Linked DNA regions of Mytilus edulis. The protein of the gene in region 1 purifies or fractionates together with the protein of each later gene. This does not show direct contact. Links are inferred from orthologs where the notes say so. Each region holds a gene or a part of one and is shown in the gene's direction. Other genes may lie near its edges. The genes, in order: F-box/LRR-repeat protein 4-like and BCL2/adenovirus E1B 19 kDa protein-interacting protein 3-like.

Region 1 (17,228 bases):
AATTATAGACTTACAAAACAATGTTTTGAACTATTTATTTATAAAATCTATTTATGATAGAAGTTTTCTTGTCAATATTAGACCTTCTTATTCAGTGACTCATACAATAGTGAGTCATTATTGTGTTTGAAAAGAATGACAAAGATATGAACTAACTGGATCTGCATGGTAAGTATTACCACTCACTTCATACTAACAACATTTCACTTGAGCAATCTGCTAAATTATTTTACCAGTTGATCAGTTAGTTGGAGAAGAAACCTAACTGCAATTTGGTAAACTGTTTGAGCCATTGCTATTGTGAGACCCCAAAGGTCACTGGATAAGCACAGTAACAGATTTCAAAATATAAAGATTATAAATAAAACAACTTACTAAGCCATTTAAATATTTCTTAGCCCTTTTAAAAAAAAATTAGATACATGTATGATATAAAATGTCAAGTATTGTGACAAACTAATCTGAATGTCATCTACTCATTTGTAATCTCAATAATTAAACAACTTATGAGAGTAAGGAATAAAGCATAGTGAATGTTCAAACGATAGAAATAAAAGATAACTGATTTCTTTTTCTTTCGTAGCTTGCAAAATAATGAGATATGATGGATTTGGTAGTTGTTAACTTCTATGTCATATTGATCTCTGGTACAGAGTTGTCTCATTGGCAATCATACCACATCCTTTTATTTTTATTTTAGATTCCTTCTTAGTATCTCTAGAGCATAACTAAGTTAAAATGGTTGAAATACTGACTCTTCAGTGTACTTTTGTCACAAATATTCATGAGTTACTTTTATAATCAAAAGAAAAGTACTCACAGACAGCCAAATCCATAAACATGATAAATAGTATCTAAGAATATCAACAAAAACAATGTAATCTTGTTTACAAAATATCAAAGAAATCTTAACAGTTATAGTGAGATTTAAAATTTTTATTGTTTTGCACATGCACATGCAAAACAGTTCTGATATTCGAATTTGCTACTGTTTTCATATGTCAATCAGTTCTAAGGGAGCTACCATTTGATTTTTATGGGGGGGGGGGCTAGGATGAAAAATTTTGTCCTGCCTTTTTTTTTAGCTGTAATCTCTGTCCTGCCTATTTATTTTTCACTCTGTTCGGTCCTGCCTTCTTTTTTTTTTTTAGTTTATCCTGACTTTTTTTTTACCTAAATTGTCGTCCTGACTTTTTTTTTTGCAAGTGTCTCATTCTGCCTTTTTTTTACTCAAAACTCCTGTCCTGCCTATTTTTTTCAAATTTCATCCTAGCCCCCCCATAAAAATCAAATGGTAGCTCCCTAAAATTCAAGCATTCATAAATCTACCCATGTTCAAGATTAATATCCCAATTACCTGAAAGCATTGACTGGTGGGTTGTTCACTTCGAAGACAGCAACCTGTCCATGTACTGAATAATCCACCATCTTCCTAATTAATATTGTACGTTAAACTTTGTCAGTCAATTCAGGTAGACAAACTTCACTGATAACCAACATCCTACATTATGAACCCAACATCCTACATTATGAACCCTGAAAGATAACATAACTATTGACCAAGGTAAAAAATAAAATTAACATAATCATGGTTATTTAATCTTATTTTGAAATTCAGACACAAGAGGAACTAAACAAACACACACTAAATAAAATCAAGGTATACATGAACATGTATTTTTTAAATATTTTATAACAATGTGTGTTTCAGCATAAGACTAATAATCCTGATGCATTGCAGTAAAATCATGAAAATACTAAGTAAATTAGAATCATATTCAAAACAGTGTGGCTGTGGCCATTGATTGACGACCTAGATTATCCCATTGACTGGGACAGATTATGTGAACGTTTGTCTTTAAAGACCACTGCTCACTATGTACTTGTTAAAGACACTTAAACTGTGGGGTCACCAAAGGTTCTCAACACCTAAGCTATTCGAAAAATTAATCAGGAATAACACGATGTTATGATTTATCTCAATAATATAAATCAAAACATAAAGGTTATTCCTGATTAATTTTTCGAATTATTTTATTATTGAAGGCGTTAAGAACCTTAGGTTACCCCACAGTTTAAATTTTATAATAAGTAAGACAAACGTTCACCTAATCTGTCCCAGTCAATGGGATAATTAAGGTTGTCAATCAATGGCCACAGCCACACTGTTTTGAATATGATTCTATAGTTATCACAAAGTTTATGATAATTTATGTAGAATATTTTCATGTAGCTATAGGAAACATCAGCAATCAAGTAAAGCCTCCTTGGCCTGACTGTGATTTATATTTGTTCCAGAATTCACTGCATTAATCTATCTAAATAAAAGTTTCAATATCGCCATTTGCAAGTAATGAGAAAGAATCATTATTAAGGGGGCGCACGGTTATAAATCACATTTTTTTTAGATAAAGGATTTCGCTACTTTTTTCTATAAATAAACTTTATCCTATACTTACCATAAAAATAAAAATAAAATATGGGGCCACCGTTCATTTAAGCTCACAATATCCCTTTGAAAGAAGCATGCATTTTTGTTAAGGTACTTATTTTCTGTTGAACTAATAGGAGAAAAAAAGGTAACATCCAAATAAAAAGAGAACTAAATTACAGAAATTGCTTAAAATTTTACAATAGTTTAGTTTAAGAACAGGTTATTAACAAAAAAAAATAATAAAAAATATAGGTCACCGATGATTTAAAAAAGATATTTCAATTCAAATGCAACATGTGCAAAAAAAATGACAATTTTTCACCAAAGGGAGATTATTTGGAACTTTTTCAATGATATAAACATTTTAAAAGTCATCTGGGACAAAAACTAATTGATTTTTTGGTTGATTTTTGTACCATATCATAAAGTAACAACTAACAGTGTAAAAAATAAAATTTGTAATGAAAAAAAAAATGTTTGCTGAATTTTTTTAACCCTCGAGCCTCCTTAAAACCTTTTGTGGTAGTAACAAGTACAGGGTAATAGAATATATGTAATATACTTAAAAACCATCAAATTAAAGTAGTTAAATCTATTAATATCTTGCTTTTTGCATAGATCAGATAACCGTGGTGAATACAATTACATAATCATATTTTTGGAAAATCAAACAACCAAATAATATATTCTTGCACATACAATGACATAGGGGTAAAGCTAAATATTATTGTCTAAGTTTATAGGCTTTATAAACAACATCAGTGTAAACATTAGGAAGTGATATCTTGTTTTTTATAAGAACACTACAGGTAACAGCAAATTTTCGGGCGATATCTTTTTGCGCCAAAAAGTAACTCATTTGCGCCACAACTTAATTGCGCCAATACCTCTTTTGCGCCACCTAATTTTCAAAACTATAGGTATCATTTGCGCCAATAAAATAATCATCTAATTGCGCCAATTTTAATATTTTTATCTATATATAACAACGAAATGATTGACTAGGTACCAACAGCAAAAAATTCCTCTGACATTGTACACTGAAATTTCAAATTAGCCTCCGCATCCTAATAAAATTATACCGCTTTCTGGATCGTTACACAATACAAAGTCATCATCTTTGTTTGTAACAACACCAATATCATCCAATATTCTGTGAAATTCTGCTCGATTTTTATATTAAGCCGGACGCAGTTTTCTTCTCTCTATATATACATACTAGACTGACACACATATTTTAAATCTTTCTTTTCTAAATTTTCTTCTTCAATTTTGAAGATCTCTGAATTTATTATTTTTGAAGGTCGCTCTGACAACACATTGGTTGCTTTTCTTTTACACGCAGTTCTCAAAATATGACGTTCTAATTTCTGGACACTGATAACGAAAATATGATATTTTATACTGACAAAATCTGCTATGAAATTTTAATAAAGCCAAAATGTATTTTATACTCGTGATAGTTGACTTGTATTTGCATTATAATTTTAAGAAAAAATATATATTATAGTCTCTCAAAACTCTTTATAGAGTGGCTCTTGTTGTTAACTAGTGTTTTGAAAAGCTGTATATTTTATATGTTACAAGTGGCGAGACTTTAATAAAGTATTTGTCTTGTCTTGTCTTGATATAGGTAAAACATGTACAGGTATGATATAAGTAAAAAAATATTAACAGGTAAATGTGGCGCAATTTCATTTCATTTATTGGCGCAATTAATACCATCATAATAAAAAAGAGTGGCGCAATAAATACCTTTTCAAAACTGCAATTGGCGCAAATTGATTCTGCCCAAATTTTCTAACCAAATCTGTAATGCTAACAAAGAATTTGGTAAAGATTATAATTAATTTGTGGTTATGAAAACCAAGACTTAATAATTTATCAGTTATACATAAATAATGTTCATTTATATCTAAAACACGACTGCAGACACAGGCATAGTGAACAAGTTGTGAAATATACACAACATAAGAAAGTAACATCTTTGTCAAAAAATTTGTAAGGGTTCCACGAAACCCAGTGTCTTGCCTACTTTATGAATCTAATAAATGTTTTAAGAACTTTAACTACAGACTGTATGTAATGTTAACTGGAAGAAAAACTAAGTCCATATATAAGTAACATATGGAAAAACTGGAAATATATTTTAACAAAATTTCGTTCTAGATACTAGCTTTTGATTATAAACAAGCTTCTGTCCAAGTTTGGTAGAAATCCAGGATAGTTTATGAAAGTTTTTAAAATTTTAAAAAACTTTAACCACAGAGTGAATGTTATGTAAACTTGCAGAAAAACTAAGTCCATTTATAAGTAAAACTTGGATAAACAGGATTTTTTTCTACACAAAATTATATCTGGATACTATCTTATGATCAAAAACAAGATTCTGTCCATGTTTTGTAGGAATCAAGGATAGTTTAAGAAAGTTTTTAAAATTTTAAAAACTTTAACAACAGAGTGAATATTTGTGTACGACCTAGAAGACGATGCCGACAACGAAATGTAGGATCGCTTTGTCTCGCTTTTTCGACAAAAGTTGATTGGTAACAAAAAAGGAAAATTAACAATCAAGGAACCAACATACTTCTCAATTGTTTTGTTATATAGCATGTGTAGAGTTTCCTGTGTGAAATTGGATATCCTTTAAATAGTGCAACTATTGTTGGCTGTATTAGATTTAATCAAAATAAGTTTCTTTTGGTATATTTCAGCTGTAAAATGTAAAATGTAAGAATTCTAAGCAAAAATATCATCAATGTAACAGAAAACATTTTTAAATGTAGTGTTTTTAAAAGTTTCAATATAGTTTAGACAGATCTTTTACTGAATTTGGCCATCAACTGAGATTTATTACAACACAAGAACAAGTCTATTATTAAAGAGGCTCAAGTAGTTCCCATAGGAATACCTTAAACCTGTTGATTAACATTATTCCTAGAAAGTACATAAATGTTGTCATAATGAAAATTTACAGCTTTAATCATTTGATTACAGACATTTTAAAGTATCATTTATTAAATAAGAGAAATTCTGTTTAATAAGATTGTGTGGTAGAGTAGTATACATAGTTAAAAAATTATAACTGTCAACTGAATTGAATGGACCATCAAAAGCACATAATTTGTTTAAAACTTCCAAAGAGTTTTGACAAGTTCAAAAATAAATCAAAGCTTTCTCAAAATCAATAAAGAGCAGTAATCCAAAAATATTGTTCTCTTCTATATACTGTAAAATATCATGAATCAATCAAATGCTATCCCTTATATAATAATCCAATATCTATTTCATAAAGATCCAAAGACCAAAACTTAAGTAATTGTTCATAAACCAAGAAACCCTTGTTTTTCCCCCTTTTTTTGCCCCTAATTCCTAAACAGTTTGAGCCAATCCTATCCATCCCTTTGTGGTATGGAAACTTTTGGTACAATTTCAGAGAGATCCACACACTGTTTCACAAGTGTAACTTGAAAAACATATTAAAAGAAGGGAAATAACTCTAAGTTTATACAAAGTGTTTCAAATACACAGATAATAATGATTGTTTGCCTGAGTTAAAGGGTGTTAATCAATAGAATTCCTGACACCCTATGTCATGTATGTGTTAATTTTTAATAAAATATCTATATCATTTTCTAAATGGATGTTTATTATCTTATGGAAACCAAACTGAGAAAATAAAAACAAATAAGAAAGAATATCCAAATTGGGAGATCAATTTTTGTCATTGTTAAAACAATAAGTTTATAAAAAAGAAGATGTTTGAAATACAAAACAAAGTAATCAGATATTGATTAATTTTAACATTCAAGAAGAATATTAATTGCTTATTATTATTTCTTTGATGAACATAAGTTTTAATTATGCTTTAGTCAATATTTTCTGAAGATCAAGATCATGTAAAAATACAGCACCTAAGCTGAATTCAAGCAGATACAAACATACATTGGATAGTGTTGTATAATCATATATTTATGTTGTAACCTCTATGGAATAATTACTTTAAGGAGGCTCGAGGGTATAAAAATTTCAGAAAAAAATAAACATTTGTTTTTCACTACAAATTTTATTTATTACTTTTTGTAGTTGTTACTTTATCATATGGTACAAAAATCATTCAAAACAATCAATTCGTGTTGGCCCCAGATGACATTTAAAATGTGTACATCATTGAAAAAGTTCCAAATTATCTCCCTTTGGTGGAAAAATGCTTTTTTTTGGCTTTAAAATTGAAATATCTTTTTTAACTCATCGGTGACATATATTTTTTAATATAATTTCCATATAAGCTGTACTTAAACTAAATTATTGTAAAATTTGAGAGATTTCTGTAATAAATTTCTTTTTTTATTTCGATATTACCTATATTTCTCCTATTACTTCAACCACCTTTACAAAAATGTATGCTTCTTTCGAAGGCAGATTGTGAGCGCAAATGAACGGTGATCCCACTTTTTTATTTTAATTTTCTATTAACTATAAGATAAAGTTCATTTATAGAAAAATATAGAGAAATCCTATATAAATGATTTAGACCCGCGAACCCCCTTAAGTACATGAAGTATTGATCATATGTCTTTACAAGGACACATGATGGACAATACGTCCTATGGACAATGTGGTGGTATTGCAGACACCTATATATATGAATGTCATGGAAATGTGATTGGCCCGTCTTCAAAGCGCTATTGTTACATTCCTAATTAATTGGTTCCTAAACCAATCCAGCATTCTGGTTATAATACTGAGCGTCCAACAAAAATAATCTTTTTTTGTTATTATTACATTACTATATGCTGATGTATATGTACATATATAATCAAGCCAGTACTAGTCAGAAGTCGCAAGCAAGTAATCATACTAAACCTTAAATTATTTTTTTTCTATCACTGTTCCTTACATGTCTCTCTTACAGGGGGTGGGTAGTCCACAATATAGGAAAAAGTAAAATCACAAAATACTGAACTCTGAGGAAAAGTCAAAACGGCAAGTCGCTATAATCAAATGGCAAAATCAAATGATGAAACACATCAAACAATGGACAACAACTGTCATATTCCTGACTTGGTACAGGCATTTTCAAATGTAGAAAATGGTGGATTCACAGAAAGTCAATCAAAGAGCAGATTGATCTGAGGGATACGATTGCCATTGCTTTCATTGATACATGTATTAGTATTTAGTATTATTTTCAAAAATAATTCAACTGCACATGTAAAATGCTTGTAAAATGTAATTTACGTAAACTGAATAGTTATTCAACTTTAAAAATAGCCAATCCTTGATACAAGTTTATGAACAATGTAATTATTGTTATATTTTTGTACTATAAATTCCAAGTTTACTTTCCACAGCAGTCACTGAAAGTGAGAGAAGGTATTTCACTTTGTACCTTATCACCTATTTCATTTGTATTTTCCTACGTGAATTCTAGGTGGAACCCCATTCCTAACATTTTAAATATTTAATTTCCTTTGGGTCAGTGGGCATGAGTCCTTTCCATACACATTCCTCTGTTTAAATTGCGATCGGTTTTAATATAATACGTCTATCGACAGAACAACAAAAAATTGAAGTTTTGAACGACCTTGACCATTGTTGACTTGTTATACAGCCCTAGCTTGCACGATCGGTAACCGACAGAACGAGTTAACCCTCATTAGCAGACAGACATAGAAAGGATCTTGTGAGTTTCAAATTAATCAATGGAGTGGGGAATCTAGAGCAACCACTCAATCTGATACCCCTTCAAGTCAAGAAAACTATATGCATGCACATACCTAAACAAACCCTAGACTTGTGATTTGTAGCAAGGATGTATATTAAATGTTAATTAAACGACCTCCATTTCTTTATGGAAGTACAATATCAAATATCAGTTTCATAACGGTGACATATAAGAAAACTCCACTTCAGTTCTTATATGACAGAAATAGATTTTATCGATCGGAATTAAGAAAACTCTTGCATGTTATCAAAACTGGGGAATTCCCTCTGATGTGTTTCTAAATTTATAAAAACACTAAATATAAATACTGCTTAATTCTGATTTTCCGTGTTGTAAAAAACATGCATACAAGTCAAGGGAAATATCGAAACATGAAGATTATGAGAAGAACATTAGAGGACAGTTGTTTAAATTCAATCCTTTTGTTTTTTATACCATTTAAAGCATGACAATCTCAAGAATCTGAGATGTTCCTTGATGTTTAGAATAAAACGGTTGATGTGAGGGCATGACCCTGAGTCAATGGTATAAGTCTACAGATTGCTTAAAAGCAATCGTATCCCAAAAAAAGGTACTTCAATACCTCATAGTTATTTGGACTAGACACACATACACAAGGGCGCATATCATAGACCTATATATAAAAAAAGAAGATGTGGTATGATTGCCAATGAGACAACTCTCCACAAGAAACCAAACTAACGCAGGAATTAACAACTATAGGTCACTGTATGGCCTTCAACAATGAGCAATGCCCATACCACATAGTCTGTTATAAAAGGCCCTGAAATGACTGTAAACAAGAAAAACTAACGGTCTTATTTATGTTCAATAATTAAATGAAAAACAAATAAGTAACACATAACAAACCACAACCACTGAATTGCTGGCGGCCTGACTTTGGACAGGCACATACAAATAGATTGTGGCAGGGTTTAAATTAACATTTTAGCGTGTCACAGAATACAAGTTCCTTTATAATATAAGTTCCAAATGGAAACAATAGTCTGGAATTTTATTTCCACTGGAATAAATATTACAGTAAATGCTCCTAATGGAATAAATGGTATAGAATATTTGTTCCAAAAGGAACATATATATATACGTTGACAACCGGGATCATGTTTAGGGGTAAATATATGCCAACCTTTTTACATAATGTATAATGCCCACCAGTTGACGGGCATACAGTGATATATTTCTACCCTGAAAACATGTATGATAGGTACATACCCCTGTGGACAAGGGAGGGGTACATGTATCTCATTGCAAATATTGTACAATATAAAGTCCTTGATCATTGACTTCTCCTGTATATTCTATTTCATGACAAGATTAAATAAGCCAATAAAACTTGTGAAATTTGCATTGTAGACCTACAAAATAATAAAACTTGATATTTTGTTAGGCCCAAAAATACTCTCCAAAAATAACACTCTTTCCAGACAAATTTTCAGAAAAATTAGGTCTTTCATCCCGTATGCCAGTTTCAATTATAATAGTGTTTCTATCGGCCTTATCTTGGAAATTTCGTTTTTACGATGTTTTTCCTTTGATTAAAACGTTAATAATATTCATTATTATCTAAATTGAATAATTTAATATTGATGTATTATTGTATGATATAATATTACACATGATCGGACGACACTAATGAATTTAGCTATTCAGTTTCGCTTTCACTTTTCATTTCTAATTTTAGAAATGGCTGACAATGCACTTGCCAGAGATAAAATAACAGAAACACACAAGCCAGGCAGTACATCAAAGGCAGTTTTAATTTCAAGATTTTCAAAGGAAGTGACTGATTTCAGCAGTCAGTATGGTAGTGAAACAAGTATATCTTACACAGTCAGCAACCTAGCAGGAAGGAGTAACATATTTCCTGCTTATGGAGATTTTACACAGGCTGCTGTTTTCGTAAGATTTCCAGATATTAGTTGAACGTTTAATCATTTAAATTAGATTGAAATAATTTCATAAAATTCTTTTATGAAAATTTATAGGGTATGGAAACTTGGTGTTTTTATAGGACCTTCATATTGACAATTTTTGAGAGAAAACATTTTACAAATGTACATGATGCAATTTACAAAGTTTTTAGTGGAAGAAGACGTCAAGTCTTCTGAAGACTTAAGGGGCTGACCATTGGCATTGAGTCTCCGTATGCCGCATTCATTTCGTGTATTACAATTTCAAAACAACTTAGATTCCTGACACCGATTTTTACACATGATTAGGCATCTGAATCATTTAATTTGTAAATTATGATTGTAAAACAATCACTATCGTAAATATGACCCTTTTATTTATGTAAATTATTAGATTTCATCTCATCCACATGAACGTTATTTGTTTACTTGTAACAGGATGTTTTAACTGTAGATATTTGTATTACGCATGCGTGAATTTGGTATCGGGACAACTCGCCCTGTTTACAAGTTCGCCCTTGAAGTTACGAATTTGCAATCCTGCAGACAAGAAGATTTTGTTTTTATATAAATAAAAAGGATATATAAAGTGTTGTCTTTATTCATGGTTTTCCTTTGTCATGTGAATTAGATGCCCTTCGTAACATACATGTGAACCTCCCGTTTAGGAGAAAAAACTCCCGTGTATGAAATTTTTCAGACGCCATATTTGATCATTTCTTACTACTGTACGGGTGTAATTGACACCTGTGTTAAATTTTACCTGAACATCAAAGAAGATGTATAATTATAAGGCTTCACTTGACAGCTTGGGTGTCAAACATACTGGTAATCAACGATGTTTACCTCCGGCTAACTGCCGTTGTGTTATCAAAACGATGTGTATTGGGCATATTGAAATATTTTTTTGTTACTTCCCTTTGTTTTATCCTGTTTTCAGTTATTTTGCTTTTAAAAATGTAAATTGTAAAAAGACTATAAATGATTAAGATTTTAATCAAATAATCATAAACATGATAAAGGGATGTTGATTAAATGAATTTAAATGATTTTGGACAAATAAAAAAATTAAAATTTATAAATTATTTTAGCAATCTAGACCTCCTTTCAAGGATTAAATTGAAGTTTATATCATAATTTTGTTTACAACAGAATATTTTCTTAATTAATTTACGATGTTGCAAATATACATGTGGAGCTTATTTCTTTCTTATTTGTCTATACATTTACAAATGATAAGGAGATGAAGACATGAACAAAAATATATACAGATAAGATATATAAATATAATGATTCATTTGCTAGCAGTGAACAATCATTTGTCAAAAACAAAACAAAACAAGAAACAGATTCTTCTTATTATTTTATTTTATTCAAATAGAGAGGCAATAATGGAACTATAAACATTACAATTTGATGGAAATTTGAAGAAAAAACACAATTTCTACATCATTTGGTTACATTTATGACAAAATTTATGTCGATAAAAAAACATGATGTTTTGACCATTCAGTACTTAACCCTTTCCTCCATAATGACGCTTTTTGACGCCACCCCCTTTACTCCATAATGACGCCTTTTGACACCTGTGTAGTACCTCAGTTGAAACACTTTGACTACAAAGTGTCTGCAGTAGACTCAATAAAATTTGTATCCAATATGAAAAGGAATATCATAGGAATATTCTACTTAAATTTATTTAATGAAATATTTGTTTTTTGCAATGCATTTTAATACTTTAAAGCCTATTTTCAGCATTTATTGAAAAATTCTATTTTGTGTTCATTTTTTACAGTGGGTTGTGATGATCTTCCAGTTAGGTTACCCTCATTTGGAGTGTTGTTCCCAACCTGTTAAAGGTCCATCTTTGTGCATAATTCAAAATTGGAAATTTCAACAACATGAACAAGCATCTAATATTCTTAATCTGGAAAATAAACCCTGGTCTGCTAGCTTCATGTATATTTTTTCTACCGATTTAATATATAACTAGAATCATGCAAACAGACTTAAGGAAAAGGCATGTAAGTTCATCATACAAATATGACACTTTTTCTAGACAATCCAGATCTTGCAAAATACGTCGCTAAAAATTGTAACCTTTAAAATTGTTGTGCAGTAAAAACCCATATGGGAACTTTCAAAAGTTGGCAGGTATGTAACAAGTCTTACTATTTTTATGCTCCATTTATGGGCAATATGTGTTCTAGTCTGTCCGTCCGTCCTGCTTCTGGTTATAAAGTTTATGGTCGAGGTAGTTTTTGATGAAGTTGAAATCCAATCAACTTGAAACTTAGTACACATGTGTTCCTCTTGATATGATCTTCTTAATTACTGCCAAATTAAAGATTTTACCTAATTTTCATAGTCAACTGAACATAGAAAATGATTGTACGGATGGGAAATCCATGTACTTATGACCTTTTCTTGTTTGAAGAAAAAAAATACATTTTAACGATAATGGAACAAAGCAGCCTGGGTAAGTGGGGCTGCTTTTATGGTTATTCAAGTTACCTTTTATTCACCTTCTTCCACTTCAGAGCTATCAGCTCTTTGATTTCTTTTACAGAGAACATACGGACCATGGTGGAAGAATGTAACATCTTCACCTCGTAAATTCAAGAGAACACCACCTAACTTCATAAGTGATGATTATGTTGGTAAGATAACATTCAAAATAGTTTTAGAGTGGAGTCTATTTGACCAAGGATTTGTATAGTTAGATCTTACTATACAAATCCTTGATTTGACTACCAAAATCTATGGGAAAAACAAACCTTCTCATTTATTATTAAATTTAATGGACACATATGATAACAGAAAAATTTGGTCAGCATTTCTCAATTTTTGGGATACGATTGCTTTTAAGCAATCTGTAGACTTATGGCAGATTCCAAAAAGAAAAGAAAATTTCCGTCAAAAAGAACAAATTAAGAAAAATAATACTTACTGTTATTTGAATGATAATATGTGAATGTTTTATTGAATAGTAATGTTATATAAAGCAAGCAAACCAATTATTGGATATGATTGTTTCCATTAAAAGTAGAAATGATCACAACAAGTTGAAAAATGTGAAATGTTTGACGGAAATTACTTCCCATTTTTTGACACAAGGTTCATGTTTTACGAGGCTTTAAGTTGACACTGGTATAATGGTTTTTATTAGTGTAGTCTGATTATTCAAACATCTCTGTTTCCAAATCTTTTGCTTTTCTTTTGTTAAAAACATCTGTGATATGTATTTTTTCAATTTCTAATACCTTACTTAGGTAGCTACCATTTGATTTTTATGGGGGGGGGGGGGGGGGGGGGGAGGGGGGGGGGGGGGCTAGGATGAAAATTTTTGTACATTTGTACATTATACATACACATTTTGGATCTTTCAATTTACTTTATTTAATCAATAGTTTTATCAAATCTGTTGCTAACATAATTTCTGTCAAACTTGTCATTTTATGTTAGCAACGTTTGGATGTGCTACAAATTAGAGTTATCTGTCCTGGGTTAAAATCTTTTTAAATTTCAGGCATCGGTATTTTGCAGGAGTTCTTAATATGACTTTCAACTAGGATAAGAGCTCCAATGTTGGTTAAAAATCTCAAATATATATTGTCCGTCAAATTTATTTATGTTAGCACAATCTTATGTTAGCAACAAGTCCGTCAACATCTTATGTTAGCAACACTATTTAGTCCGTCAAATTTTATGTTAGCAACAATAATGTCTGTCAAATTTAATGTTAGCAACAAAAAAGTATGTCAAATATTATGTTAGCAACAAAAAAGTCTTTCAAATGTTATGTTAGCAACAAAAAAGTCCGTCAAATATTATGTTAGCAACAATAAAGTCCGTCAATTTTTATGTTAGCAACAACTTAATTTCTGTCAAATCTTATGTTAGCAGCATTGCATATGTCTGTCAAATTTTATGTTAGCAACTCCAAGATAATCCGTTTTAAAAGTTATTCCAATTCCTTTTTTATTGGTGCAGATGTTCAGAAATGTTTTATTCCAATTTGCCTTTCATGTTAAATCAAGATAAACATCTAAACCTTGAAAATACTGAAAATATCAAGATTTTTTGTGTTGCTAACATAAGAATTTTCCGTCAAAATGTCTGTCAATTTTGTTATGATAGCAACATTTTTTTAAGGTGGTCTTTATTTAAAAAATATAATGTGAATAGATCTATTTTTGGTCAAAAAGTGTTTACTTATATAAGTATAACATGTATTCCAAAACAGAACTTCATTGGTGTTGATATTGTTAAACATAATTTTGGGAACTTTTCAACTTTCTTATTTGGAATCTGCCTTATACCATTGACTCAGGGCCATGCCCTCACATCAACCGTTTTATTCTAAACATCAAGGAACATCTCAGATACTTGAGATTGTCTTGCTTTAAATGGTATAAAAAACAAAAGGATTGAATTTAAACAACTGTCCTATTATCAATGTTCTTCTCATAATCTTCATGTTTTGATATTTCCCTTGACTTGTATGGATGTCTTTTACAACACGGAAAATCAGAATTAAGCAGTATTTATATTTAGTGTTTTTATAAATTTAGAAACACCTAAGGGGTATCAGATTGAATGGTTGCTCTGGATTCCCCACTCCATTGATTAATTTGAAACTCACGAGATCCTTTCTATGTCTGTCTGCTATCAGCTGCTGCTATTGAGGGTTATTGTTGTTGCATAATTTTAAATCATGATGCATCATTTTAATTAAAATAAATGTAGTTCACAACGTAAAGGTGTAACTAGAACACCCCTTCAGCCAAAATGAGGTCTTCCATATTATCGCGTCGAGAAAAATTAACTCGTTCTGTCGATAGACATCGTATTATATTAAAACCGATCGCAATATAAACAAAGGAATCTAAACGGAAAGGAGTCCTGCCCACTGACCCAAAGGAAATTAAATATTTAAAGAGTTAGGAATGGAGTTCCACCTAGAATTCACGTAGGAAAATACAAATGAAATAGGTGATAAGGTACGAAGTAAAATACTTTCTCTCACTCTCAGTGACTGCTGTGGAAAGTTAACTTGGAATTGATAGTACAAAACTAAAACACAATAATTATAAGTACATTGTTCATACACTTGTATCGAGGATTGGCTATTTATAAAGTTGAATAACTATTCAGATTACGTAAATTACATTTTACGAGAATTTTACACGTGCAGCTGAATTATTTTTGAAAATAATACTAATACATGTATCAATGAAAGCAATGGCAATCGTATCCCTCAGAGCAATCTGCTCTTTGATTAATGTTTAGACCTCAAACTTGCATTATATCATGTTTATAAAACATAAGTAACAAATTATCAGAGATTGTTTTCATGTAGTCCATTATTTCAAACTGCTTGATAATTTTTATCAAAATCTTGTTTATAGCTGTCAAGATTAGCTTAAGGTAACACGATACCGAATGGCATATCTCCCGATTTCCAAATTTTTTGGCATACGTGTACTTTGAATCGAGTTACATCGGAATATGTAATAAAAAATGGGGGTCACCATTTTTGTTTTTTTGTAATTTTCATAGGAAAACATCAATTTTGGCGACAAATTTACTTAGGTATATAGGGGAAATGCCTTTTTTTCGGCTTACCTTTTTAGATTTTCGAATGGATGGCTATTTTCTTATATACGGAGAAAAACGAAAAACTAACATAATATCCAGGATTGCATAGTGAATCCAGACACGTATAGAAACTCATATGTCACCATGCTTGTTTTTGAAATAAATGGCTTCAAAGTTGATCGATAGGCCTAGAATTTGACCAAAAACGTGTGACGTTATGGTGTACGGAATATAACGTTATTTCTTCTCAGAGAATGGAGAAAAACATATGTGTCGGGATCTGAATGAGTATATTTTATTTTCATTTCCCCTGTCGACTGTCGTAAAGTTCCTAGTAATGCAATATAAAATTCTACTGAATCAGATATAATTTTATTTCGTCCTTCACATGGAATTTCACTTATATGAATTAATATCAATATCGTCCGATTTTCACATCAAACGAGCATATACTTGAAACTTGCGTGAACAGGTTCCATGTGAATCTTATGATAATAGTTCATGCATAAATCACCGGAATTTTGTACACGTTAAATTCACGTAAATATTTCAAATAAAATTATTTAAATAATATCTTTGTTCTAAAATTTGATTAAAACCATAAAAAATACCTTCAGATTTTTGTTAAGTTTACGTGAAAATTAAATGAAACATTTCACGTGAGATTTATCCGAATTACTGATTTTAAACTCCATCATATTAGACAATGGTAGTATCATCACTGCATCCCATGATGCAGAAATATGGTATTTAAAAAAATTTGATTCATTTAACAGTTTTTTAATTACTCGGTGTGATGGTTGTTTAACGTTCAGTGGCAAATAGTTCATGCATGTTCGGGACGATACACTACAATTTTGAAAACAGTTGTTTATAAAAGACACATTTGATGCACCAGTCAAAAAAGATTAAACATTCTGTTATTTGTGAAAATAATGATCATGATAAAATACACATTCCAAAAAATAAAACAACAAAACTCCAAGAAAAAATCAAAACGAAAAAATCCCTTATCAAATGACGAAATTAAAAGCTGAAAAACATCAAAAGAATGATAAACAGCTGTCATATTCTTGACTTGGTACATACAATACATGTAGTATACTGTACTCTGCGTGGTGTAAATGTATCAAAGTAATACTTTTTAAAGATTAACAATGAACAGAATGATGGCTGGAAAACGACAAAACAATCTATGTCAAATAACCGCTACGTATTGCATCAAAACTCTCGGCACTCTGCACATAGGGAAAGTTACCGTTAAAAATGCCACACAAAACCCGCTGCATTGGCTTATATGTGTGAACGTTATTCGATAACGTCAGGAACGATAACTCATGGCGTAACGTCATTCGGTATCGTGTTACCTTAAGTGGTTGTCTCAATGCTATAGTAATTGTCAGTGGGTTTTTTTGTGCTCATTAATACAGTTATCAGTTAACATGGTTTATATCTTTTCTGTTTTTCAGAATTGAGTTTTGATTTAGATGTTTATCCATGTAAGATTGAAGTTTGGGAAACTTATAATCCTGGA
Region 2 (17,260 bases), on another chromosome or scaffold:
TGCAATAGAATTCAAAAATAACACATTAAAAAAGTGTTTTAAACAAAGATGTTTAAGATTGAATTTTAAACCATGTGTTTAGAGGTAATTGTTTGAAAAATATTTTTGTTCGATTTGACATAATTTTTTCTTCAGTTGTTTATTTGTTGCTATGATGACAGATGTAAAAAATACACAAGATAATAATTTAAAAATTGATTTCTTTGAAGCTAACTACAAATATCTGGACAAAAAATAAAACTTGTGAAAACAAAATTTATAATAGCAAACTCAGTGCTCACCTAGGTCAATGTGCATCTTTAACATTAAAAAGTAAAATCACAAAAATACTGAACTTAGAGGAAGATCAATTGGGAAAGTCCATAATCACATGGCAAAATCAAATAACAAAACGCATCAAAAACGAATGGACAAGAACTGTCATATTCCTGACTTGGTACAGGCACTAGCGGTAAAGGGGCACTAGCTACGAGATATATATATAAAAAATCTAAAGTCTGATTTTTTTCTTTTTAATCAATAATAAAAGTGCAATAGTGAAATAACAATTTTGTCAAATTACGCTAAGAAACATTGATAATTAGTAATTCACTTGCAAGTGAATGAGTCGACCTCTTTAAATCCGTATTCATGTGAACTTCAATTTAACCCCTAGCTAGAGATTGACAACGCATGCATTGTACGTGTACTGGTTATTTAAAGAAAAAGAATGTCAACAATGAAAGTGAAACTACGGTCAATCATTTGATTACTAATTCGATGCACATGAAATCATTCTTATACGGCTAAAACAATGAGAAACATCTATTTTTAATCTATAAAATAAAATCAAACAGACCTATAAAAATCCATTTGCACGTGTTGGTTTAATCTATTCATATCTTTATTTATGTTTACATTGCTTATATGGTCATCTGACGTCAAATCGATAGTTAATTAGATGGCGTCTGGACTAAAATACCCACGAAACGAACCTATATATTATCTACCCCATGCTCTGTAAACTGTTTATTTTAGACTTTTGATAGTTTGGATAAATGTTTTACATTGTTATAAATCAAATATGAGAATTTGAGTCAATTCGGTGACCATGAATTTGACAGCTAGTGCCCCTTAAAAGACTAGAATATAATTCATAACAAAAATCTCTTTTTTCTTGTTCTTGTATGGCTGATAAAAAATTTCTGTTTACAGTTTCTCTCTTCTTCTTTAGTTTTTGCCTACCGGTAAACAAACTTTCTTTTATCATTGTTTTCACTATTATACAAGTCTACATATAAACTATTTTTATAGGGCAGCAACTCCTATAAGAAATCAGCAAAGTTTTGAAGGAAAGAGTCGATAGACAGAGCTCATCATTCTTAACAAATATGACCAATGTCCAATTTTCTCTATTTATACCGTTTTTTAAATAATAGTCCACACTTGAATTTTACCCCTATGTTCTTTTTTTTAACAGTTGACATAAACTTTATGCAAATGCTGTATTTGTCAAAACCATTATTTTAGAACCTATATTTTGAACTATTGGGAAAAAGAAAAAGAAGATCATTATATCCATAGAATTATTTATTGTACATGTAATAGCAACTACATGTAACTTCTGATAGAAATTCTCTTTTAAGGAAGACATTTTTTTATTGTTACACAACAAAGATAAATGTTTTCTAATATTGATGACCCACACAATGATATGGGGTATATATGTCAATGAAAAAAACAACACAACTATGATGGTCAACAAAAGATAGGGATCTTTTATCAATATTCATATTATAAATCATATAAGTCCACAAAAATGATCTCTAAGCTACATGTATTTGGAAAAACTGTCAGAATGTTTGCTCCAATGCTTTTCAACTTCGTTCTTTAATTTCTTTTTATTTATTGGAGCATCATTGTCAGATGAGTCTTTTGTAGACAAAATGGAATTTCTGAGGTAATAAAACTATAATCCTCCAATCTTTAAGTTTTTTAAAGCTGTATCACTGTATGGATGGGCCCTTTTATGCAACTGTAAGATATATATATATTTGTACTGTTTTGTCCACCTATGCAAATCACATTTATTTCTCACATATCTTAGACATGTTTGAATGATAAACACTAAAGTACACCTTTTTTCTTTAGTATTGATTTTATAATAATAGATGTTATTTTTCAAGATTAATTTATTACAATTCAATCCAGAAAATTAAATAAAATAAATGAAATCTTAAAGTACACAGATTACATCAGATGTTTTGTCTAAAGATTCTGATCGATTAATTCTTTGTACAAACATACAACAACATATCAATCACTTTCTTTTCATAATCAGTAATGACATTTTATGACAGCATTTATCAAATTTCTAATTTTAAAACCAGGTTTTATTTTTTACTTGATCATTACTAAAAACACTATCTGGTTTAAACCAAATCTCAAATGCGGTTAGAAGAAAAAAACACATGGATAACAAAGTAACACAGAACAGAAACACCCAAAATCTTGAAGCAGATAGTTTATCTGATAAAAGTCCATTCATTAATTCAACCCAAAACAGTGATTTCTACCCATAGAATCATCTGATACCAAAACAACGGACAATTCCAAAGCGGAACAGGATTAATGCTGACAAACCTGATTTGTAAAGCCTGGCCAATATAAAATCAATGCTAAGTGCATGAACTCTATTAATAATCTATCTTGAAAATTTTGTTCTACGCTAGTACTATCCTGAACTTATTTCACAAATATAAAATGTACTGAAAACCTCTTTTTTCGATAAAAGGGTTGCATTATTTTTTATTTGTATTATTTATTGACCAATTTATTATTTTGTATACTTTATTTTGTTGCTCTTGTTGCTCACAATGTGTGTCTGAGTGTATTTATAAACTTGTCTATTGTTTAAATATCCTGAAAAGAGAGTAATTTTGTCATTTAATTCACTATTTGAAGCCCTAATATAAGATAAAATGTTATCAAAGAGCTAGATGAAAATCAGTTGCAGAAAATAAACCTACTTGTGGCGATGATGAGTTTTATTACAAAGACAATGATTCTGCTAAGTATAGTTTAAAATAATTATCTTCTTTTTGTTCAGTAGCAGTGATGCAATCAATAATTAACACAAGATAGAGCCATATATATTTACTAAAGGAAGATTACCATAGACATGTTTGTTCATAAATCTACCGAAAACTAAGTATCTAATGATCCAAAAATCAACTCCTGAATTGGCTGATGAAGTCTTGTTTTGATTAGGTACAATGTACATGGATTTTTTTACAAATGTGATATCACAGATTGAACATTTGCATCACATTTTCTAAGCAGCTACAAATCACAATGTTGTCCCTTTAAAGACCCTAATATCAGAATTTTGCACAGTAATCTTAACATCAAAATTTAGGACGAACAGAAGCCTCTTGCTGCTCAAAGATTGAAATATCAGTTCATGAGCCATATTGTCCTAATTTAGGCAACCTAGACAGAGGATGTAGTCATATAATAATTATTTAGCTATTTAGATAAATGAGACAAGTGAAACATTTATGCTTAGTTTCTAGTAATATTTAATAAACAATTGTGTAAATAGATATAGGAAGATGTGGTATGAGTGCCAATGAGACAACTCTCCATCCAACTAACAATTTTTAAAAAAGTAAACCATTATAGGTCAATGTACGGCCTACAACACGGAGCCTTGGCTCACACCGAAAACAACAAGCTATAAAGGGGCCCAAAATTACTAGTGTAAAAACATTCAAACGGGAAAACCAACGGTCTAATATATATAAAATAAAAAAACGAGAAACGAGAAACATGTATAAATTACATAAACAAACGACAACTACTGTACATCAGATTCCTGACTTAGGACAGGTGCAAACATTTGCAGCGGGATTAAACGTTTTAATGGATCCAAACCTTCTCCCTTTTTCTGAAACAATAGCATAAAATCACAAGCTTGGTTTAAGTGAACCTACTGTACATTTGTATCTCAGCAAAACAACACATTTAGGAAATGTATTGATGAAATATGTTTAAAGTAAAATTTGTAAGGTTGAAGTATCAAGTCAAAATTACTACTTCTTGACAGTAAATTCATACTCTGGTATTCATCAAGTCAAAAATAATAATCTATTATTACACAGTAATATTTCACTTGTGATGAGGGCTAACCCAGTAGACACTTAAGAATGATCATTTAATCACATGTAGCCCCATGCTACATATTAAAATCATATGACCACTTGATAGATCACTTAGTGACAAAACAATACTGAATATAATATAGAGAGATGTGGTCACCTACAACAACAAACTTCATCAGTTTCAAGGAGGATGTCATTAGGATATACTAAACTTATATAATTATGTTTGATAGATTATTTGATTTACCGGTACATGCATTTGGTGATAATAATATGTTGATGATGTATGATGATGTACAAAATTTTAAATCACATGCAACTTTTAAAATTAAAAAAAAAAAACACTTATTTTTTTTTACTTCTAAAGACATCAAAAAGACCTCCAAATCAACTGCCTTCAAAAACCATAAAAAATTTCTAATAAACTTTTAAAATAATTTTTTTTGTCAGACATTGAATTTCATAAACATGATATCATTATATAACATAAATGACAGGACTGTCACAGGAGAGAAGCAATCTTTATACAATGCACATGTCTTAGAGCCTAATCACTCACAAAGCATCTATATATAATACTGATTAAATTGGTTGTAAGTAATTTCTTTGACTAGTCACTAAATCAAGTCTGGTGGTTTTATAAGTACATTGTATTTTAGGAGTACTTTATCATATGTTAGTTAAAATACAATTTTCAGCTTTACGACCCGATCGATCAGATCAAAATGTTCAAAAATCAATTAAAACACATAGATAACTTAAAAAGAAAACATCCATGTAAAATCTTCTGGTAAAGTGAGCAGAAATGGTTCTATTGATGTTTAATGTCTTCAAGTAAATAAATACAATATACAATTAAGACAAATACAGTCTTGAATATACATGTCATATAAGAAATGAGCTAACAATCTGCAGCTGTGACATCTAAGAAGGCATTCAGCCTTAAATGCATGTCCTTAAGATTTGATCTCACAACATTATGTAATAATTCATTTTTTCAAAACCAACGGAAATACTAATTCTATGTTAATAAATTCAATAAATATATATAATAAAATAAACTACTGCATTTGATAAACTATGTGCTCAGGTACAAAAGACCAACCCTGGATACATGTACCTTGTCATACATGGTCACTATTTTGTGTCTGTCGCTGCTTAAAGTTTTTTTTAGGTTCATGGACAAGTACGTTGAAATTTTGTTCTGCTAACTGTTTGAGCAAAAAGATTTAAACATCTGGATGTAACTGAAAGCTCCCATAGACAAAGCTACCAAATATTGCATTATCATAAATCGTTGCAAAATTTGTATCTAACTAAAATGTTATTTCTCATCAAATCCATCCAAATTATACAATTGTAAGATGAGTTGATTATAAGACTTAAGCTTGTTAAATGTCATGTAGCATATATTTCATGCATTTTCAGAACTGAAAGAGCTTACTTTTAAGTAATTAAAAAAAAGGAAACCCTGAATTTCAGTTGATGATATGTTTGGTCCTAGTTAAAATAAATTTGTCAGAAGTCAGCAGAAGAGTTGTATTTTCGTTCCCTGCTTTGATCATTTCAAAAATTTCATATTTAAAATTGCTATTCCCTCGGTGTTCTCTTATAATATAAGCATGATAAAGTTTTAAAATAATATATTGTAACAGAGGAAAGAAATGTAAAAACAATGTGTTGTTTATAAAACAATGTATAAAACCTTATAAAAAGAAAAAGAAAAATGTTTCTGGAGACCTGAATGCTTTGAAACTAGAAATGATGGAATGACAGATGGTAAAAAAGTAACACTGAATGCCCCTGTCGCCTATTATAAGTCGGGTCATAAAAACTTTAGATAAATATATTCTGGCAGAATCTGGGTAAAGCAAATTTGCATCATAGTAAATAACCTGATGCTAAAAATGTCTTTCTACAAAACTTTCTTTTTTATATTTTAATTCATTATCCATTTTTAACATTATAATATATTTAAAGTTATGATTTTTGTAGTTTAAAATAAAATGCCTCAATTATTACCAAAACCAGGCTATTATTTAAACTTGGAATTATTATTAATTATGGAATTTGCATAATTTCTTGTGCTTGAAATTTTTTAATAAATTCCATGTTTATTCTGTACTCTAGCACTTCTCAGAGCACTTAAATGTTCTGTGCTGTGTTATGAACCGCTCAAAACATTAAAATACCAAATAACATGGAATTTATTAAAAATTTCAAGCACAAGAAATTTTGCAAATTCCAAAATTAAAAATAATTCCAAGTTCAAATAATAGCCTGTTCAAAATGAAAAGTTTACATTATCTTATAATTATTGTTAAATTTATATGACAATTATACATTGACAATTTAAACACCAACCACAAACATGATGAGACTAAAATGTCCAGACTTATAAATAACTCCTTCATTTCAATGAAGTTTACATGTATGATGTACAAGCATATCAGATTTAAAGGACAGATCAATAGTCATATTACTCTATAATAATATTACAACATTTATTTTCCTTCATACATAAAATGGGACTCCAAAATGCACTTCTTAATGTGCAAAAAACTAACAGAAAAGACATAAAACGAAATATGTAAAGCAAAAACAATGTACATCTGTCAATAATAGACTACAAAAAATGCAAACATAAAACAGAAAACAAGAATGTATTAAAATAATATAGACACAGGTAACCCTAAATTACTAATTACACAAAATATCTTATATGAATATTAATGTAGTTATAATAATTTGTGAAGTATGCATATAACAGGTTAAATCTGGCAGTGGAATAACCTGCACACGCGAGCTGTCTTGGAGAATTTAATTTAATTCAATTTAAATATAAAATCATTAGCTGACATAGACCTTTAAAGAACAAATTGAGTTCATTGACTTGACTTTAATAAACCTCATTAATCATGACAAACATGTACAGCCATTGAGAATATAAAAATAAGAAGATGTGGTTTGATTGCCAATTAGACAAATTAACATCAAAGACCAAGGACATATATATCATGTATATCTTGTATATAAAAGTTAGAAATTATAGGTCATCCCGCAGTCTTTAGCAATATGCAAAACCCATACCCGAAAGCAAACTATACAAGGTTCCTACATAACAAATAAGTAACAAATTAATTCAAATAGAAAACTAATTGCCTGATTTAATTACAAAACAATGACAGAAAAAACAAATATGATTTTATACAATAACCAATGACAAGTACCGAATTACAACCTCTAGACTAAGGATAGCCGCATTCAAAATGTGGCAGGGTTAAACATGTCAGTCTTCACAATAAAATTTTGAATCCATAAGCCTGAAAACTGTATTAATTTACAAATAAATTAAGTTGGATTCTAGATCTGTTGGCTTTAATATAGAGAAGAATTTTCCAAGCCCAAAAGCAATTTTACAAGCTGAGGCTGGGTTGATGCTTAGCTATAGACCTCCATCTAATTTGGGTGTTATACCTAAAAGCTAGAATGTCACAAAAAACAGAAAAATTAAGCATCCAAGAAAAAAATATCAATCAGTACATGTACATTATACAATGGGTCAAGAGTAAATTAAAGATGTCATAAACAGTCTAACAGAGAAAAACAAGATGTTATGCCATGCCATTTATAGGTATATATAGACATATACAGAACTGTAAATTTACGTTCATAGCTGAATAGCAATAACTTTTTGTTATGCTTTTTGTCTTATTAAATGATAACATAAATCAAAGTCAAATACAATTTATGGGTACTTTGCAGAAACGAGCAGTGATTGCTTCCTATTAGGTTTTTTTTAAATTTGAAGACTTGTTACAGCTACTGATCTGGACATGGTCCCTTTCTATCGAATTCCAATGACCTTAAATTTACCGCTTACTTAATTCAGTCATTAGGTCAGTCAGTGGGATCCCAGCCCCCAACCCCCTATGAAAAGTTCTGAATCAGCCACTGTTAATGTTGATAATATTTAGTAAAAAGGAGCTGGAAATTATTTCAATTTCAACTGCATGTATAATTAAAACACTAGACTTAAAGCTATTAAAACAACTTGTTCATTTAGCATGTTTAGGGAAAAAGTGAAGCTTTGAAGTAAACAAATTTCAAAGGCATGCACATACAGTAAGTCAGTTGCCAGTATAATTGCTTACATCCACTTCATCTGAACTTTGTTGAATATATGTCTCATTGGCAATCATACAATATTTCCTTATATTTTTATAGCTTAACTTGTACATGTTGTAGGTTTGAATTTCTCATATACATGACCCATACATATGTTCCAAGTAACCAAAATGCAAATTGATAATTTTTAGTATTAAAACATACTTTAATGCATGTTTAATATTCTATTGTATGTCTTTCTTATATTGCAAAGGAGAATTAATTGTTCCAATTGAGATTTTACCTACTCATAGACGATTTTAAATTTTATCAGATCCCTAACATTCCTTAAAAAAAAATTGGAAACAAATTTTGTCAACTGAAATTTTTCAAAAAAAAAAAATTCTGGAAGTATATAAATATTATAAATGAATATCGAAACAACATGTACCTGGGTCTGAAACATGTCTATTAGTCCCATCATGTTCCCAAATATGGGTTACTACATGTACATTCAATCTAAATAATTCAAGTTCATCTATTTATTTGTTATGCATATAATTTAATGTGTTGCAGATATGTACTGAATTGAGATCTTATACCCCATCATAGGAATATCCTAAAATTGTAAGGTTTTTAATTCATACTAAAGTATTAGTCTCTTTAGTTTCTGCACTTTAATTTGACATGACTGAATGTAAATGTCATGCACAGATTTGAAGGAGTGAAGAACTAGAACTGTATATTATTCCAAAACTTGACTGCATTTGCTTTGATTAGTTTCTTACTCATTATTTTTTTCTCCAAAATAATGCTTGTAGATTTCAAACAGAATGTGATATTGCACAAAACATATACCTTAATTGTTATTCTATAGCAATACATGTACTTACTGCTTGTGTTCCAGTCTATCTCATCTTCAATGACTTTATTATTCTTCCAGAGTGTCAGAGAGATCATGGCTAAACCAAACAGAGAAAATTTGACAAATGCTGATGTTTTACCCATCTCGAATGGTTTCTTTCGTTTAATTTACTCTAAAACATCACATCGTATCTAAATGAAAGGATATTATGTCAGGTTTCCAGGTATCAAGTTTGACACATGTGTTGTAAATCCATATTTGGGTGATTCCAAATTTTGATATCACAGGGTTAACAGCATATGATTTTGTAAATCAAATAGAGGAATTTTTATGAATTAAATTTATTAGGTCATGTTTTCATCTTTAAATCATCTTAACCTAACAGGATAATGAAGTTATATTGCCTTTTAGAGGCCACATGCATTATTGGCGAAAGTGAAAGTATCGATATGGAATGATCTTATCCTTTCGTGTGCATATATTTTCTATTGTTGGATTATTTCCCTTAGCTATTATCAATGTAATTTGTTACGGGAAGTTGATGAAGGTGGAGCAAGTCAGTTTCCTTTCGGAGCTTTTATTAATTAATACCACGTGACTGGTGACGTATACGTAAATAAACGAAAAGCAAAACATCAACAAAGAAGTATCATGTCATCGACACAAAAAATTGAAGGTATATTTTGTAACGGGAAGTATTGCTTCATTGCGAAATTGTAAATACAGTTAAATAAGATAAAAATATGGAACAGAGTACGAATTTAATTAGGAAGCAGGTGCGCGGAAATGTCAGAAAGGAACAAATAATTGATGACATCAATAACTGTCGATCGAACAGTTGAAAATCATTAATCTTGACCTACTTTTGTTTCTTTTTCTGTTACATGATATTTTTGATCTAAATTTTCTTCATCTGAAGCTTTCTTTTGTTGTTGTAAATTGTATAAATCTTGACAGGTGCTTGTGAAGGTACGTGACTACCCTCAGATACACTGTACGAGTTCATTGTCATTTTCAATGAATTCATGCAACATTAGTGCGTAAATGGGTTTGTATATTAATAAAAACAATAAATAGAATAGCTTTGATAATAAATGTCAAATACTTTAACAAGAAACAGAAATCTGTGAGAAGTTCATTTTGTACATGTAAGACATCTGACCAAAAGAATCCTCACAAGAGTCAAAACTGGGGAAAAGAAAGTGATTAACAATGATTTTACATTTATGATTTTTCTTTCCTGCTGACTTTTAAAATGCAATATACACAACTAGAAAAAAAATCATGAAAAATAAAATGCATGCTTTCTTTTGACCAAAAGACAATATAGAAAATGTTGCTGTCATGCTAATCTCTGTTGGGATTTTCTGATTTGTCTGCCCTCATCAGAGGTTACTGTCATGCATGCAGAAACTGTACATGCACATTATTATGTAGATGTTTAGAAAAGGTATTGCTAGCAACATCAATATGTGTACTGTGTATTTAAAACTGCATTGTATTTTTGGATTTTGTTCATCTAACAATTCCAATACATAATATAATGCTTGCATCACAGCTGAAGATTGACCAATCAGATAATTAGATTGTGTTTATCTATTTGCATATTGGAGTTGAAACGGTGGCAAATCCTCAGGTTTTATCATATATGCATGTAGTACACATGGTACACAAACTTAAAACTCAATTTATTATTTGTCGAATCATTAAAATTAAATTTGAGATTGTTTTTTCAAATCTCCTTATCATATTAGACATGTGTTTAATAAATCTTTGTGATATCTTTTACCGTTTAGTTTTAAATTGGAATTCAAAATTGTATTTTCCCATAGAGTTTGAGGTATGAATCAGGAATTGAAAAAAAATTGTGTTCATCCTCTCTATTTATTTCAATTGTAATATAACTTGAAAGAACAAAATTGTACTGTAAGTAAAAGAGCCTTAATTCAAGGACATCATAATTTAATTGAACTTGTTAAATTGTCTACAAATCTTGCTTTCAATGGGACAAATAAAAAGAAAGTGAGGATGAAAGTTGTCTTCCTTTGTATATTTACTTTTACATGGCTTTTGGAATAGTGAACACAACACATCAAAAAGTACCAACGAAAATTAACAAAATTTGTCTTCTAGATTCATGGATAGAACTTAGTGGTGGAGTTACACCACCAGTTGAAGCACAATCCATATACAATGGTAACTTAGAAAAGTTATTGATCGAGGCCCAAAGAGAATCTAGATCATCATCAAGACCAAACAGTAAAGAATCATCAGCCAGGGGCAGGTAACTAAGAAAATAACATGTTCTTATGTATGAGTTTGTTTCCATTGCATACTAGAAAAAGCAATTATTCACAATTTGTACAAGTATTTCAAACAAGCATAATGTACATGCATCATCACTGACATGTATTCTTTATCACATTTGTCATCAATGATGAGGATTAGATTTTGGTTAGAAATAAAAAGACCTTTAAAAATAAAGCGGTGTAGGAAAAATGTCCATGTGACAGTTCTCCAATAACAAAAGATACACAAAATATATGAATAAAGGTCACTATATGATTATATCTGGACAAGCATTGCTATTTTGTCAAATCATTTTATATACCAACAAGATGGAACAGAAATTAATATACATTTTACATGTTACAAATGTACATTAGATAACACATGGTGATGTGAAAGAACCATATCCAATTGCAAGTAACATAAATTTGTTGTTTTAAATTACATTTAAATTTATGCGATGTATAGAGAGTAATTATATGTTATTTAATATAAAAAAGAAGATGTGGTATGATTGACATATACATGTATATTAAAAAAAAATGACATATATTGATAATGCTGATTATTTTTTTCATTTAAATTTACACATGTTTGTTAAATGAAAAAAATTCTAGATTACATCGTAAATGAATAAATAAAGATCTACTAAATTTATTTAACAGAAACAAACCTGGATAAATAAAAAAGATAGAAGCTTTGTATACTGCTTCCTCTTCTGATAACACATTTATACTAAACAGTTTTTGCATGGAAATCACATTGAAAATGCAGAAATTATTGCTTTTTTATACATAATCGGCATACATTGTACAATGTATGTCAAGGAAAAAACCCAACCCAATAACACAATAAAAACCTAGAGGTCAACATATTCATGTACAGTCTAAAGTTCAACATAAATTGGCCTAAAAAAATCTAAAAAAAAAGTTTTGTAAAGTTATTGACTATTTTTAGTGTTGTTTATTTCTTTTTCAGCCCTAAAGGTCTGCACAGTCCTACAAATGAATTATCAAATGCTGAATCTACACAGGTACATGTACATACTGAACTACACACTTTATTTTAATTTCATAATAAACAAGGAGATGTGGCATGAAGCCGCATGAGACAACCTTCCTCCAAAGTTCAAATGAAGTGGATGTAAACCTTTTCTTGAGCTTTTAATCAAGATATAATAGATTCCTGGAAAACGTTTATGAATTATTATTTTTATTGTATGATACCAGACCTGCCAACCCATAGGGTTGAGCAGAGAGGTGTGAACCTCAATTTAGAAATTCTTTGCAGGCATCCAAATGAAGGAAAAGGGTATTTAAGCACATAAATATGCATCTGCACTACATGAATATAGTAGTAGATTAAAAACACTTTGACAATATAAGAGGAGTATTAGGTCCTTGCACTTAAAATCCCCATAAAAATTTTGAAATGTTGGCAGGTATGTTATACACTTATCAATGCCATTCATTAAACTACTATTCTTCTTCTTTCTGCATTTAAACCATTACTATTTCTTTTTTATCAATTTGACAGCTTCTTTCTTGTTTTGTATAAAGAAGTGATTATTTTTTAATAGGAAAACCGAGATCCAGGTACAGACTGGATTTGGGACTGGTCCAGTAGACCTGAAGCCTTACCTCCAAGGTAAGTAAAAGTTAGATTGCACTTTAAACTTCAATTATGTCATATTGATATGTGCATATCATTTCTTTTTTTTTAATACATGTACCAGTAATTTATCATAAATGTATTTCTTTTCTTCATAGTTTTTTATCAGAAAATTAAGATTTGACATTTACAACTAGGCTTATTTTCATCCTTTGGAACCAATGTTTAGAAATTTCAGACTAATTAAGTAGCAGGAATTATAGTTATATTCATTATACTTGTCATACCTTACTTTTGAATGAATATATAACAACACTAAAGCTTGAAACATCATGAAAACTGAACTAACTTAATTTTTTGTTGTGTCTTCACTGTATAAATCATCCTTTTTTTTTTTTAGTGATTTGGGAGCACGTTTCAAGCATCCAAGAAAATCTGGATTTAGAAGTTCACAAATGATACGAAAAGAAGATGCTTACAGCTTGAAGTACATTATTATATCAAATGCCTGCTCCTTTGTTGTAGGAATTGGTCTTGCCAGTCTGGGGTAAGTTAATTGGATTACAGCAAATAAAAAATACTCTCAGTACAAAAGTACTGTGGTAATTTGAAAGGACTTGCAGTACGCGTATAAGTAAAACTTTACCATCCTAGTATAGATGTAATGATTAGAAACAACCATTCTGAGAGGACAAAAAGCTGTAACAAATAATTATTCAGTTATTCACACTGTACAAAGAACAGCAAAATATGTGCTTAAAACACCAAATCTAGTATTTTGATTGGTTGAATTCTGAGTGTGAATACTTTCTAGGTGCTCAAACTTTTGATGACCCCAAGACCTGGGGTTTAAAGTCATCAAACTTTGCTCAATGCTTGGAGCACAAAAATCATGCTCGAAACATGAAATCCATTTTGATTGGTTGATTTTAGAGTATGAGTACCAAAAACTGACTCAACAGTTTTATGACTTTAAGGCAAGGACTTTGGAAACACTAAAAAAAAGAACATATTATCTGTTCATTACTTCCTTCATTTCATGTTAAAGTTTCGATAAATATAAATCTTTTTCTTACTTCTTGTTTTGCATCAATATTGTTTTCTTTTCTTTCAGATTCTATTTTGTAATGAAGAGATACTGCAGATGTAGTAATTTAATGATCTCTAACTAATGGATAAGGACAAGATAATGGAACAAACGTATTTTTTATCGGAAGTCTTATTAAAAATCATAGTGATTATCTCTGATTCTGTATATGAGGGGAGATGATATTGAATTGGAATATTTTTGTACCATCATAATTTTTACCCCTCTTACTTACAAATGTATGCATATGAAATGATTTAAGATTTTTCTCAATTATTTAGATGCTTTTTGATTTCTGGTAAAATGTCTACAATATACAACAGTAAACACTGAAGCCAGCTTCAAGTTGTTTAACTGATTTTACTATGGCCAGTGGCTTTATGATTTTCAGTTCTTTAATTATTAATAAATACCGGTAGCTGTTATTTTATGCTTCCAGTTGTTTGATACTTATCACCTCACAATATAATACAAATGTTCTTGAATTATACAGATGCTACATGTTTTTGTATTTAAGAAAACTAAAAGCAGATTATTCCAATGTCAATGTCTGTTTGAAGAAGCCTCCTAGTTGCAAGCAATTGTAAAATCATTTTTATTTATTATAAAAAAAAATAGATGTTAATGAAACTATTTTTTGTACGTAAATGTATTTTAATAGATGATTTTAAACTTTTAAGAGCTGTGGAAAAAAATAATTGTTATAATGATTGTCTGTTAAGGAACATTTTAATTTTATTTGAATAGAAATTTGAAAAATATTATAAAAAGAAAATTATGACAATTTATTAGTTATAGTTGATATATATATATATCTCATAGGAAACTTAAAAGATGTAGATTTAAAAATGAATGTATATACTATGTATGTATTTTGTTGTAAACTGTATTCTTTCAATATAAGTAACATTTGACTGTGCACAAGTATGTTGACATTTCTCTTTATTGTTTTATAATCTGACTTTGGCAAACTTTTCTCATGTATACATTTATTAAAACATATATATGCAAAAATTTAAATAATACAGCTAAAATTACTTTAATAAGGTTCCAATTTTATCTCTTGTTTGATGTATATTCTTCCAAAGCCAAATTTTTGTAAAATCTTATTTAAATTATTCAGTTCTGATTTTCTGAGACCTTTACGTAGTTGGTTGTGGATATATCAAATTTTACAAATTTCAATTAGTATAAATTAAATAATGAAATTGATTGTTAATATAAAGTGTGTATCACCGTGCAATATGCAATCATTATTCATGTATGTATGTTAAAATTTTCAAATACCGTATAAAGTAAACTGCATTTTCATTATAGACAATTTTCACCTCTATGAGTAAAAAATATTTCAACAATTTTTGTAGGTATTTATATACAATGTTTCGATTCATAACTCCTTTTAACTCTTTATATGTTTCTGAAATACATGCAAATAAAGCAAAATAAATCTGCATGGGAATTTTTTTTTTTAAATTGTTAAAAAAAGAGGATTTTTTGTTAATAGTTAATAGAACAAATTACAAATAGGACAAACATGAGATTGTTTATTTAGTTTAGATTTTGGACTTCCTATTCCGGTGAAGAAGTTTAGAATGCTTTTCTAGGTTTCAATTCATATGCAAAAAATCTCACAATTACGAGTAATTTCATAATTTTTATAATACTATAAATTTTGTGTATATTGAAAAGTCCAGAAAATCTTGAGTCAAATCCTTGGTTGCATATTTTCTTTAGTAAACATAAAACTTCTACAAAGTAAAAACTTTTGCACAACAATCTCTAGAAAAACAGTATAAAAAAATATAGATTCACACATGATGCACAATGCTTAGGAGCAATCACTGCTTTTCCTCATTTTTGAAGCCAGCACAAATTAATTTGATATTTTTTAAATATTTAAATATATTTTATTTATATACCTTTCAAATTGTACTTCCTAAGTCATATGGAACTTGTTTGTATATTTTATGAAATTTTGAAATGATACATGTATTTACAGGAATTGTATTCATTGTTTTATAATGTTTAATTTTTTATTTTATATGATGTTTTCCTGTTACACTTACTGCTATGGTTGATTAAACACTTTTTATGCCCCACCTACGATAGTAGAGGGGCATTATGTTTTCTGGTCTGTGCGTCCTTCCGTCCGTCCGTTCGTTCGTCCGTCCGTCCGTCCGTCCGTTCGTTCGTCCGTCCGTCCGTCTGTCCCGCTTCAGGTTAAAGTTTTTGGTCATGGTAGTTTTTGATGAAGTTTAAGTCCAATCGACTTCAAACTTAGTACACATGTCCCCTATGATATGATCTTTCTAATTTTAATGCCAAATTAGAGTTTTTACCCCAATTTCACGGTCCACTGAACATGGAAAATGATAGTGCGAGTGGGGCATTCGTGTACTGAGGACACATTCTTGTTTTAAACAGTTTTAACTCAATTTATAAATATATTTAAGTTTGCTGTTTTATACTTTATATTAATTGTTTAGATATATATATCTGAAATATAATTGGTCTTAATTGTGACTGAGTTTTTTTTGCCTATCATTATTTCATGAAAAAATATTAAACTGATCAAATGTGTCAATATTGCAGTTAAGACAAAATGAACTGAAAAAATTACACACTTTTGTTATACTTAACAACAAAATATTGCCTTGTATTTAAAGAAATATTTTCTCATTTTTACAGTGTCACTTATATATTAAAAAGTTAACCCTTAAGTGTAAATTTGATTTTTGATTGAACATTCCTGAAATTCCACCAGAGAATGGAATGGATGGAATTTGTCCAGTATTTTATAATTCCATCATTAATCAAAATGATGTTTATTATAATCTTGTCAAACTTTATATGCAAATAGGGTGTTAATTCGGTGAGGCTTTTGAGAAAATAGTTTATTTTGGATAGCGTTTACAATAAATTTTTAAGATGCAGATAAGATGATTTTTAAAGTTAAAAAATAATGTTAGATAATATAACTGGGTTTGATGAACAACATCAAGAATATGATATTCTGTATGACTCAAAGGATATTTGATATGGGTATTTTATTGTGAAAGGTATTACCACTCTTATACAAAGATATATATATATTGCCCTCTCTCTATAACATTCTATTCTATGGACTTGGGGAAATGTGCTTAATTATATATGTCATCA

What was found.
Region 2: the proteins of F-box/LRR-repeat protein 4-like (region 1) and BCL2/adenovirus E1B 19 kDa protein-interacting protein 3-like purify together in Homo sapiens (affinity purification with western blotting; 4 studies listed by BioGRID, with this or other methods). This does not show direct contact. The link is inferred for Mytilus edulis from reciprocal best matches to the Homo sapiens genes FBXL4 and BNIP3.

The regions. Positions count from the first base shown.
Region 1 is NC_092345.1:89,859,335-89,876,562, forward strand, and holds the start of F-box/LRR-repeat protein 4-like, read left to right. Parts: upstream 1-9,837; 5' UTR 9,838-9,866; coding exon 9,867-10,082; intron 10,083-12,662; coding exon 12,663-12,753; intron 12,754-17,163; coding exon 17,164-17,228. Other genes in the region: peroxisomal bifunctional enzyme-like, read right to left, coding at 1,358-1,428. UniProt on the Homo sapiens protein: Substrate-recognition component of the mitochondria-localized SCF-FBXL4 ubiquitin E3 ligase complex that plays a role in the restriction of mitophagy by controlling the degradation of BNIP3 and NIX mitophagy receptors.
Region 2 is NC_092347.1:47,102,642-47,119,901, reverse strand, and holds the start of BCL2/adenovirus E1B 19 kDa protein-interacting protein 3-like, read left to right. Parts: upstream 1-9,643; 5' UTR 9,644-9,765; coding exon 9,766-9,790; intron 9,791-11,247; coding exon 11,248-11,398; intron 11,399-12,381; coding exon 12,382-12,436; intron 12,437-12,982; coding exon 12,983-13,050; intron 13,051-13,414; coding exon 13,415-13,561; intron 13,562-14,128; coding exon 14,129-14,186; 3' UTR 14,187-17,260. Other genes in the region: probable sodium/potassium/calcium exchanger CG1090, read right to left, coding at 9,143-9,257. UniProt on the Homo sapiens protein: Apoptosis-inducing protein that can overcome BCL2 suppression. May play a role in repartitioning calcium between the two major intracellular calcium stores in association with BCL2.